Linked DNA regions of Drosophila melanogaster. The protein of the gene in region 1 interacts with the protein of each later gene in a pairwise test. Each region holds a gene or a part of one and is shown on either strand. Other genes may lie near its edges. The genes, in order: CG9948, CG10949 and CG14110.

Region 1 (3,689 bases):
GAGGTGGTGCCGCGCTCGAGGAAATCAATTAGGCGACCTGGTGTGGCAATTACAATCTCCACGCCGCGCTCCAAATCCCTAGCCTGCTGTCCCTTGGGCGCTCCACCAAAGATGCAAGTGTTGCGCACATGCGTGTTGCTGCCAAACTCAATGGCTACCTGCTGGATCTGCTGGGCCAACTCTCTAGTGGGAGCCAGGACCAGGGCGATGGGTCCATCACCGCGCTCCAGGCGCGGCTGGTTATTGATGTGCACCACCGCCGGCAGAACATACGCCAAGGTCTTGCCCGATCCGGTCTGGGCCACGCCCACCAGATCCCGTCCACTCATAGCAATGGGCCAACCCTGGGCTTGAATGGCCGTTGGCTTGGCGAAACCCTGCTTACGGATCTCGTTCATCACGTAATCGGGAAAGCCGCCCTCCTCGAATTCAATACTGGGTGTGGGCACCTGATCGCCCTTGATGGTGATCTCATTGCTGGTGAGGAAGGTCTCTGTTTCACCGACAGTCCTGGCCAGCACCGAATCGCACGGCTTGTAAAAGTTCTTGCGGAATGGCGTAAGATTCACCTCAGACCAAACGATCTTGGGCAAGTGAGCGCCATGATTGGAAGAGCGCTGGCCCCCGTTCTGACCACCGAATCCATCCTGGTTGCGTGGTCCGCCGGGTCCCATGCTAGGACCACCACCGTTCATGCGTCGCTGTCCACCGTTGGCGGGTCCATGACCATTGAAACCTGGGTATGGGGCCGAGCGATTGCGCTGGAACATGCCCGCTCCGCCGGGTCCGCCACCGGGAGCACCACCGCCCATGCGATTGGGCACCATACCGCCGGCTAGGCCACCAGCTCCTCCGCCGCCACCGCCTCCGAAGGCGTTCATCTGTCCGTTGTACCTGCGACGAGCGTTTTGTGCCATAAAATTAGAATTTTGAGCCCTTTAATGCGTTGCCAAAATGTTGAAATTTACACGAAGCGACCTTTTTTTATGTAATTTTCATTTTTTACTGCCATTTTGAATTTATTGATTTTCGACACTCGGCCCCTGGCCGCATGCTAAACCGAAATTTGGGCTTAAAAAATGTGTGCCTGTGTTTCAATACTCACATGTTCATTGCTGGTGTGATGTAAGTGGAAATATAGCTGGCCAAAGTATAGTTTTTTCGGTCACTTTTACAATTTTTCACTCCACAATTTTTTCAGCTTCTACGTCGTCAATAGAGCTGTGGAAAAAATCGGTGTTAATATCGATTGGTTCGATAGGTTAGGTTTTCTGGAAACATCGATTGAATTTTCTAGAAACGATCACAACGAATAGGGAAAAATGTCAAAATATTTGTTAGTAGGAAACTTTTAATATATAAATAATTATTGTGAACGTTTCTAATAATAACAAATTAAATAAAAATAATAACTGAAAAGAATATGGAACACTATTAAGAGCACTTTAGAGCACTATGGTTGCTAGTTTGTAGTTACTTCGTTGTCTAACCAGTATTTTTTTAATGCGGCACCGGTAATTAACAATAAGAACTATTAATTTTTTAAGCAAAACAAAGACGTCTGATATTGTTTGTCTGGAACCTATCGGGTAAAGCAACTTCGATAATAATGGTCAGCAAGAAAAATGTGACCAGCCTATAGAACGACCCAAAAACCAAAGTGTGGACATAAATTGGAATATTACAGTGATCGCTCAATGTAGTTAACCTGTAAATTTCTATCTGTAAAGTAATAACTAATAAACAAGGTTCTAATAATGCAGTTAAAATATAATTTATTATTATGTAATTTCCCTTCATTTGTTAAGTATCTTAAGCCCGCAATTATGACATACAATACGTGCCAAATGGTTTTCGCTTAATCGTAGCTCTGCTGTACTTCATAAGGTAAATAAACATGGCTCAAGCAAGGGATTCTTAATTATCAAGTTCAAGCTAGTTTAATTCAATTTGGTAGCCATGCGCACCAGTTACAAGAAAAACAGACCTTTCGACTTCAAGCTAATTGATCTGGTGGAACCCAATCCTGTGCTCTATAAGAGATCTGGACTCTCGAACTACGATGCCATGAAGGCGAAAACCGATATCTGGGCTCGCATAGCCGAGATGATGGGCTGTGATGGTAAGTCAGCTAATAAAAGAATAAGATATATATATTTAAAGTTATAATCCTCTTAGTGGACTTCTGCCTGATGCGCTGGAACAATCTGCACTATCAGTTTCGCAAGGAGTTTCGCCGCGCGGACACCAGTGGATCCACCTGGCCGTACCTGGAACGCCTGCGATTTTTGGCCGAGATCCAGCCGCCCTCCAAAGTGAAAACCAAACCCAAAACAAACAAACAGGAGGCGACCATCCAGACGGAAACTCCTGTGCAATTTTTGTGGGACACTTTTGAGGATGGGGATGTTCCACAGCAGTCGAGTACGTTCATAATCGAGGAGGTCATCGAGGAGCCCAGTGAACAGATCATCCAAGAGGAAATCATCTACGAGGAACAAGAGCCCGCTGAAATAATCTCGCCCAGAAGCAGCTTTCTCCAGATGGACCAAATACTGGCCCAACTAAAGGAACCGCAGCGGAGAAGGGCAGAACGAAGGATTACAGCATTTCTGCTCAAGTGCCAGCTGCGTGCCTTGAGTAATCAGTCCGTGGAGGACCTTAGCATCTAGTTTCCAGTTCACATACTCTCAAACTTTATTTTTAAAAAACAGAATATAACTAAGATTAAACCTTGCACTTGTCCAATTCCAACCATGCCACTTTCGGCTTGACAATGAACTGATCGCGCGGCAAACTGTCCAGCATGCTGGCCTGCTGGCGGACGTACTTCACCAGTCGCTCGATCTGCGCGTAATCATCACAGTTCATCTCGAAGAAGCGGCGCCACAAGGCGCAGGCCAAAACCCGATCGTCGGACATGATGCCCTCGTCGTAGGCGATTAGGGCCGCTTGGAACTGCTCGGATAAGGTCTCGATTTGCTGACGGGTGCGTGAAGGATTGTGAGCCTGTTGGGAAACACATATGAAGAGCATAAAGATTATATATATAAAGGTGAACTAAAGTAAAACCTACTCCCAATTTCTTGGCGCGTGTGTTAACATCTCCCCACATCGCCTCCACAATGCAGTTGCGCAGGAAGCGTCCATCCTCGCCCGTTTCGGAGCCCTCGGCCATGGAGCGCATCAGGAGTAGCCAAACATGCAGTTCGGTGACCAAGAACCAGGAGTTAAAGGTATTGGGCAGATTGAAGTCGCGGAAAAAGGTCACATAGTTGATCTTGTCGGCGACGCTTTCGTACAGCAGATGACTGGTTACCTTGAGGCGCTGAAATGGGATCACTTCGATGAATATTAATCAAATGGGCAAAGTAATCCGAGTCCTACCGCCTTTGTGTTCGGTGTGAAGCCCACTTTGTTGAGCACTCTCTTCAGAATACCGCCTTCTGCGGCTTCCGCTGTGCCGGGTTTCGTTTTATTGGTATTATCCACAACGCCGGTGGATGAACACAAGCGGCATGGCTGCTCCAGCAGTCCCAGTATCGCTGGCCTGTGCTTATACGTATGTTGTGTTGCCTATAATATGTTTAATTTAAAAATTTTATATCCGTTTATATAAGAGTTGATGGCGGTGCATTCGGATGACCGTGTTTTGACTAAATAAAGTACAACCCCTGCTTTAAACATAC
Region 2 (4,208 bases), on another chromosome or scaffold:
GAATCCGGATCCCGGCCAGAACTTCAAACGCTTGCCGCGCACTTCGTTTATTTACACAAGAAACAAGTTTATGCCCGAGAAGAACCATTCGCAGGCACTTAGCAGGCGCTCGCGTTTATTATCTTAATAATAATTTCAGAGTTCAGGCGGCGCTCTTTGACGCACAACTAGGGATTCCTGCTCGCATGAGAATGGGATTTGGATCGGTATCTCTGGGTCCCGACCAACTGCACCGTGCGAACCGGAGGCGGCAACTAAGCGAATCGAGAATCTGTTGGCACTCGCGCTTCCCAAGAGCCAAGTGCACGCCAAGCGATTTGTTTATCCATCTGCTGCGTACGCGCGAATTTGTTCGTTATTAATTGCAATAAATGGTGTCGGCGTGGGCGCTTTTATTTATTTCTGTTTTTTGTTTTTGGTCGGTATGAAATGTTTGTTTCTAATTTTCGCGTAACCGAAATATTTGAATAATTCAGCGCCCTCTGGTGGCGGGTAGCGTTTGATGGCGATGGTTGTGGTTACGCATTTCAATGCTTTTCAGCACTGGTAATTTAAACAACTCAATTTGAAATCTACAAATATTCAAACCTTTCTTTTTCAATATTGCCTTTTGAGCCACAATATTTAGTAAGTTTATTTATTTACAGATATTTTCATGCTTACACTTATGTAATAACCCTTCTTCGTAATACTTTTGCAGCTAATCTACAACATTCTAATTTCAGTTAATGACCTGACAAGGTGCCACATCCTCGATCTCCTCGCCATCGAGGGCTTTGATTTGGCACTGGCACAGGAACTGCACGATCTTACGCTCGGCACTTGCCCGCTCAGACGGACTCAGTCCGTCCAGCAGCATCTGAGCCTTGGCAAGCAGGCTGTTGGCAGGCTGTGTACTTCGCTGTTCTCGCTCCTGCTCCTGTTCGTGGTGAATCTGGGCCTGCAGCTCCCGGGATTGCTGAAGCACGGTCTCCATGTTGGCAATCACGGTGGTCAACAGTTTGTCGGAGATGGCGGCAGACGGTACAGAGTCCCCAGGGAGAGAGGAGGACTCCTCTACGACGGGATTTACCCTGGCGATTGTGTGAATTATTTCCTCACTGGTGGCCGGCGTGGTGGTGGTCACCTGGAGCTGCTGTGGTGGCTCCAAGTCCTGCCGTGCCGTCGCTTCGCTGAGGATAAAATCGTACGGCGTTGCTTGCTCCGCCTCCGATAGTATCTCAATCTCTTCATCGTAGGCCAACTCAAGATCATCCTCCAGATCGTCGTTGTCCGTACTGTAGGGGTAATCAGCGCCCCAGATTTGCTCACCACTGGAGATCACCATTCCCTCCGGCTGTTTGCTGGTCTTTCCCGAAGGATTTCCTGCTTTGGGTGGTCGTCCACGTCGCTTGATGTTCTCCAAAACCAGGGGCACTCCTTTGCGGAAGTGGCGGCCCAGAAAGAGAAGGTCGTTAAAGTACCTCCACGTGATGGGCGTGGACTGGTTGATCTGATGACTGCGGAACTCCCGCCCGAAACGATCACGCAGCTTCTTCCAGCGGTTGTAGCAAAGTTCCTCTATTGAAAATTATCGGCATTAAGGGCTGAAGATCAAGAGGGTTACCCCGAGCTCACCCGACACATTTAGGTTTTCAGAAATCTCTCGCCAGGCTTCGTTTTTCGCTGCTAGGTTCTTGGAGACTCTGATCTTGTGACGATCATACAGCACGGGATGAGACTTGACCAGCTCAATGAGCTGCTCGTTCAGCAGGTCATCCTGGGAGTCCTCCTCCTCCTCGTCCTTTCTCCGCCTCTCCTGCTCCATGTCCACTTTTGTGCGCTTTTTCCGCTCCCTGGGCTCAAAACGCATCCCGTCGAGACTCTCGTTCCTTGCCAGTCCCTGTTTGTAGTGATCCTTGAGAAAGAGCAGTCGCGGAAACATGTCCCAGTAGGTGGGCTCATCCGGACGCTCCTGGAAACGGCGAAACTCCTTGCCGAAACGATCGCGAATGCTCTTCCAGCGCGTAATGCACGCCCGTTCCGAGGCTCCTAACTTCTGGGAGATGGCCTTCCAGGCCGCGTCCTTTTGCGCCGCATTCTTCACGCTCCTCGCGCAGTCCTTGTCGTACAGGATCGGGTGTCTCTCTATCAATTTAATCAGCTCATCGTCGTCCATTGATTTTCGCTATTATTTGTTTTTATTTATTCTGAACGATCCGGCAGCCTGGCGGGAAATATTGATAGTCGATAGGCGATGGGTCATCGCACAAAAAGGGCTGCCAGATTATTCTGTTAAAAAAATGTGCCTCTTAGTTTTATAGCACCGTTATTATAACAATGTTAAATAAAATATTTGTGTGTTTGTCTTAAAATGTCTTAATACATATTTATAATTTAAAGTTCGTGTGTACGAATTTCGTTTAAAATATATTCTATTTTATATATTTTAAAGAAAATTCTCTTTATGTTTGTTAAAATCTGCTGGTTTGAATTTCTGTGTAACCTGATAACATTGATGGTCGATAGCTCGATACTTCAATCTTTCCATCGGTGAGTTTGCCCCATCTCTATTGTGCTACCTGGCAACGCTGTGAGCAAGGAAAATACGGCAGCGTGCTCCCCGTTTTCCATCCACGTTTTGTTATAATTTTATAAGTATTACGGTCTGAGACCGATTTTGCACTGCATCGTGCGCGCTGCAAGTACTGGCGATTGGAAATTGGAGGCGCGAAAAGAGGATAAGGTGGATTTTCTTGCAACTGTGTGTGTGAGCATTGGAATTCGCCCGTGTGTGTGGCGAGAGTGCGTCCATGTGTGTGTGACGGACCAAAAAAGCCGACATCAGCGCCCATTTTTTGTTGTTGATTCATTAATACGCCCGTCATGCACCAGTATTGGTGAGTTGGAGCAGCGCACCGTCTTACTCGCACTCAACGGAGCGCAGAAAGAGCGCAGGGAGCGGCAGAAGAAGAAGCAGCGAGCAGCAGCACCATTAGCGGCAGTCAACGTCATATAATTTGTCATCGAAATTGGCACACTAAAAATAACAGTTAACTTCAACCGCCATGATCCTGCTGGAAATCAATAATCGGATTATCGAGGAGACGCTGCTGGTCAAATACCGTAATGCCCAGGCTGGGTAAGTCAATGCCTTCCAGTCCCGTTTCCCCAATTTCCATTCCACCATTTTGATTTCTATGCTGCATTCCCCACCGTTCTGTTATCACCAGTCGGCTTTGTTATCAATTTCGTTAGCTCTCTCTTTCCTCGGGAATAAATTTGGGTGTAGTTCCAGCCTTGGAACACTCATCGCTGCAGCTCTCTCCCTCCCACACACGTACCCAAGTACAGTGCAGCCCCCTTACGTCGACAGCGTATTAGTTAATTCATTACAACTCGCTATTCGCATCATCGGTGCTGAAAATCTGCAAAACTGACTCATCCATTGACGTGCATTCAAACGCATACGCTTGTGATGATCGAAAATATTAGTATTTATTTGTTCCTAATCCCGAAAAAGGATATTATTATTGAAGAAACATTATCAAAGGAGTCGTGTTACGAAAGAAATATGTTTAAGCTAAACGGTTTAGAAGAAGCTTAGACGAAGCTTACAGACTAACAAAATTATTAAAATTAGTAAAATAACTTATTGTACTAACAGCACTATCAGCAGAAAGAGGTATTTGTGTTTGGTAGCGAATGATTAAGATCTCACATAAATAAATGTATTTAAATGCTAATAGTTATGATGCCATTAGTTTATTCCCGATAAGATTGCAGTGTAATGCCTGAAATTAAGGCAATAAAAGTTATAAATTGTGGAACAAAAGTGGCATACTTGGAAAAAATCTCCTGTTGTGTCTCAAATGTTCCAAAATAAACCAAAAGGACGAACGGCATCCTGAATAATCAATCATATTATAGCAGATGACTTGTGTTCGTGTACATAAAAACTAATAGTTTCAATATTACTCCCCTATTATCTGTATTCTTGGGAGACAAAGTTTACATGCTAAAGATTCTCCATTTTCCGTGTCTACAACGCTCCGATATAAATTGTAACGCTTAAATCATCTTGAGTAATTCTTTTTGTTTCTTAAGATAAATACTTTCGTGTACATTATTGCAAATTTTAGGCTTTGGAGCCAAAGTGGCATTCTTCAAAAACAATATTTGATCTGTGTCTCAAAAGCTCCAACATTAACTAGAAAGACGAACGGCAT
Region 3 (3,612 bases), 6.4 Mb from region 1:
CAGTTCTGGAAGTCCCATAATTAACTGGTATGCGCCCATTTCCTTTTTAGCAGTAGCAGCTCTGCTGCTTTTGGAGGCGATTCCCGCGGATGCAAAGCGGCGCAAGCACAAGGGCTCCGATCATCACTATGAAAAGTCTGATCCCCACAAGACCAAGACAAAGACCAAGTGGTCTAGCTCCACGGATTTGGCTGGAAACACTCCAATTTCCACCGAAGAGCACGGCTACTATGTAAAGCGCACCTTTGCGGCTCCCGGTGAGATTGGAGCCGCACAGAAGCGTCTAAGTCCCCCCTATTTGGCCATTCCCATCGCCTGGTTCAGCTGTGAGTCGGGCCAGAAGAATTGCCAGTCTTCCAATTCCGCGGCTATCAACAGTGCCGCGCAGTCCTTGAGCGAGGGCTATCTGTGCGACGATGATTGCGATGAACTGTACGAGCCCATCTGCGGCAGGACCACCTCAGAGGTGGCCGTTTTCTACAACAAGTGCAAGTTGGGTGTAGCCAAGTGCCGATCCCACGGTCTTTGGACGGACTTCGCCTATGCCGAGTGCCAGGCGAAATATCCGCAGGAAACTGCCTATGCCGACAAGAAGTTCCGGTCATCGCCTTATTTCCGGGATGCGGCCATCGTGGAGCAATTGAAGCTGGAGGAGGAGAAGCGTAAGCAGGAGGAGGAACAACACAAGCTGGAGAAGGAGCAAAAGAAGAAGGAGAAGGCTGAGAAAAATAAGAACGAGAAGGACAGCAGCGAAAGCAGCGAGGAGAAGGATGACCAAAAGGAAAACAAGCAGAAGGATCCCCTTTCCCTAATGCCACAGAAGAAAGTGGAATCCACCCAGAAGCCAGTGCCAGTTCCTATTCAAGTAGCAGTTCCAAAACCAGTTTCAGTTTTGGAGCCTGCAAAGACGACCGAGGACATCGCTATGCCGCCTATGCCACTGAAGGACACTCCCACGCCCAAACCTCTGGAGATCGCGCCCCTTCACCAGCAGACCCAACCCAAGGGCAAGGACATTGATAGGCTCAAGTACCAAGTAGCTTAGAAAGCAATGGCTACACAAATCTCACCTAATTATAGTATTTATTTAATTTATTACAACAAATAAAATTCTAAACAACGATAATCATCTATATTTGATAAACAAAATGGGTTTTTTTTAAATACACGCTTTGTAGTTTAAACGTGTATTGGACTACAATTTTTATGGCTAACTTTAATGGTAACCCGACTTTTATATTGTCATAAAAATAAAAATCATAAGATCTGCTTAGCACTTTTATGTAGATATTTTATATGGGATCGAAACGCACTTTTATTTTCCCAAAGTCAGTAAGAGTGTCTTCTTAGTTCTTATGACTCCAGACCAGTTACACTATTTTTCAGATCCCTTGAGCATTTAATTACTGAAATAGGTGCATTGTACATTTACATAGCTATATCTTTGGAAAGACATTAATCGGGATCCAACATTTCTGTGACAAACTAGTATAACTCGAAGCAGATTTAGTAGCAAGGGGAAAGGTGTGTGCAAAATTTGTAATGGGAATGAATACACCTATGATTCTTAACGAACTCATTCTTGATAATTCTTTATGGCCTCTAAAGAACTTTGTGTGTTAAAGTAACGGGTATAACAACTTCAACTTTACATATATATCTTTCAATCAGATAATTTTCAAAACTTTCTTAGAGGCAAATTCACCTCTTTGTAATTAAATTGAGAAGAATTCTAAGGCGATGCAGTTGCATTGAATCAAGTGCATTGACCCCCAAAACAAGTTCTATAAACTGATTGATATCTGAAGCTTGAAAGGGCCATCATCCATTGCCAGGCACTAAACCTAAAAACTAATTGGGCGTGGGATGGACAATGCAACAGGTTGCGGCTGGGTTGCCTATAAAAGCAGCGGGATTTGTGTCACTTGTCACAGAAGTTGACCAACTGCAATGGGAGCCACTAGTGTCGGAGTTCCAGTCTGGAAGATTCAGCTACTGATTCTGCTGAGTGCAGGTGAGAATATTCTAAAAGTTGTAGCTTGTGGTATTTAGTTTTCCTCTCCTAGTTGTTCTCACCATTCAAGCTGCTCCTGTCGAGGTAACCGAAGGAGTGACCCAACCCCCAGCCGAGAAGCTGCAAACGGAGTCTCGTTCCCGTAAAGATGAAGAGCTGGAACTAGAAGAAGACCTGGATGGACGTAATGCCTATATCAACAATCAGTTTGTGCCAAGCGAACCTGCAGAAGTCCTAGAGGATGTGCAGAATACGCCGCTCTACGAGATCCTTCAAAAGCAGATGGAACAAGTGTTGGCCTCATCGGCTCCCAATGACCCTGTCTACGAGCAGCACCGCGAGAAGCAGGATCGTCGCGATCAGAAACCACCACACCAGCCACCGTACTTCTCCGGCGGAGATCGAGATGGTGATCTACAGGATGACTACGAGGACGAGGAGGATCAGACGGATCAGGGTTATCCGTCGGACCCCGAGAAACCGGACGCCGTGTCAGATGCTCCCGAGGATGAGGACCCAGGCTACCAGGCACCTTCGTTGAGCCTTCCAACCACCACCACTCGCAAACCGTACAGACGACGCAGCACAACCACTTTTCAGCCACGAACCACCAGGACAAGAACCACTGCTCAGCCCAGGATCTCGGAAAGTCCATTGAACCAAACCAGCACCACAGAGCAATCACCAAATGTGACCACCAGCACTCCACGGCCCAAGATTGGTTCCAGCACCAAACCCAAGGCAAATCCTCAGCCGGGAAACAGCCTGCCAAGTGACCCGCAGGTTTACCAGCACAAGCGTCGCATCATCTTCAAGACCATCTCAACGGGCTCGCAATTCGTCAACTCGCCAATTGGCGACCTAATGATCAAGTTCTCAATCGGATTTGCCAAGCCAACCACTCCGGGTGGAGCTACCAGCACTGCGGGTTCACATAGTTCGTCCAGTGAGGCTTTACGTGCTCTTTCGCAAAACTTAATTCGAAATTTTGAACTTCAAAAACTAAGAAGAGCCAATAAAGTGCAAAAATATTAGATATACATTATTAACGAAAACAAAACCACGGGTTTTCAATTGGATTCATGTTTTAATGTACTAACAACAATGGATTCGAAGACTTTATGAGTAGTAGCTATATTTCGAACAAAAGATATTTTTAAAACCCTCAGTTGAAGAACTTAATTCTATTCTATTACCTCAAATTCAAAAATTTCGAATTGTGTTATAGAAATTTCATGAATATTTTAATCACCACAACAGCAATTGCTTGTGCAATAAGCAAAACATTCGATTTGGAGCGAGGTCTGCTAAAATTATTCCAGCGGGAACCAATCATTGATCTCCAAATTGTTGAAAACAACTTGAGATGACGCCATAAGAATATACATAACCAAATCAGAAAATGTATTCCGTCACGTACGAGAATTTCGAGACAATGACAATAGATCCACATGTACGGTTCGTGTTTAGTAGAGTTAATACACAAAATGGAGGTGAACAGTCACAGTAACAACAACGTCATAATCCGTAAAGGAACATGGTTAGCTACCTTAGAGTAAATATAATCTAACTGCCTTGGCTATTCGGTGCCCAATCGT

The links.
Region 2: the proteins of CG9948 (region 1) and CG10949 interact in a two-hybrid assay, tested with the Drosophila melanogaster proteins (one large-scale study listed by BioGRID).
Region 3: the proteins of CG9948 (region 1) and CG14110 interact in a two-hybrid assay, tested with the Drosophila melanogaster proteins (one large-scale study listed by BioGRID).

What each region holds. Positions count from the first base shown.
Region 1 is NT_037436.4:6,954,276-6,957,964, forward strand, and holds CG9948 (uncharacterized protein), read left to right. Parts: upstream 1-1,715; 5' UTR 1,716-1,959; coding exon 1,960-2,122; intron 2,123-2,178; coding exon 2,179-2,672; 3' UTR 2,673-2,727; coding exon of another isoform or gene 2,728-3,009; 3' UTR 3,010-3,076; downstream 3,077-3,689. Other genes in the region: CG10077 (uncharacterized protein), read right to left, coding at 1-894, 1,106-1,113; Uqcc1 (Ubiquinol-cytochrome c reductase complex assembly factor 1), read right to left, coding at 2,728-3,009, 3,077-3,328, 3,388-3,576.
Region 2 is NT_033779.5:20,414,547-20,418,754, forward strand, and holds CG10949 (uncharacterized protein), read right to left. Parts: upstream 2,373-4,208; 5' UTR 2,159-2,372; coding exon 1,618-2,158; intron 1,561-1,617; coding exon 722-1,560; 3' UTR 627-721; downstream 1-626. Other genes in the region: Arpc2 (Actin-related protein 2/3 complex, subunit 2), read left to right, coding at 3,048-3,121.
Region 3 is NT_037436.4:13,382,861-13,386,472, forward strand, and holds CG14110 (uncharacterized protein), read left to right. Parts: upstream 1-1,928; 5' UTR 1,929-1,950; coding exon 1,951-2,014; intron 2,015-2,066; coding exon 2,067-3,049; 3' UTR 3,050-3,065; downstream 3,066-3,612. Other genes in the region: ImpL1 (Ecdysone-inducible gene L1), read left to right, coding at 1-1,045.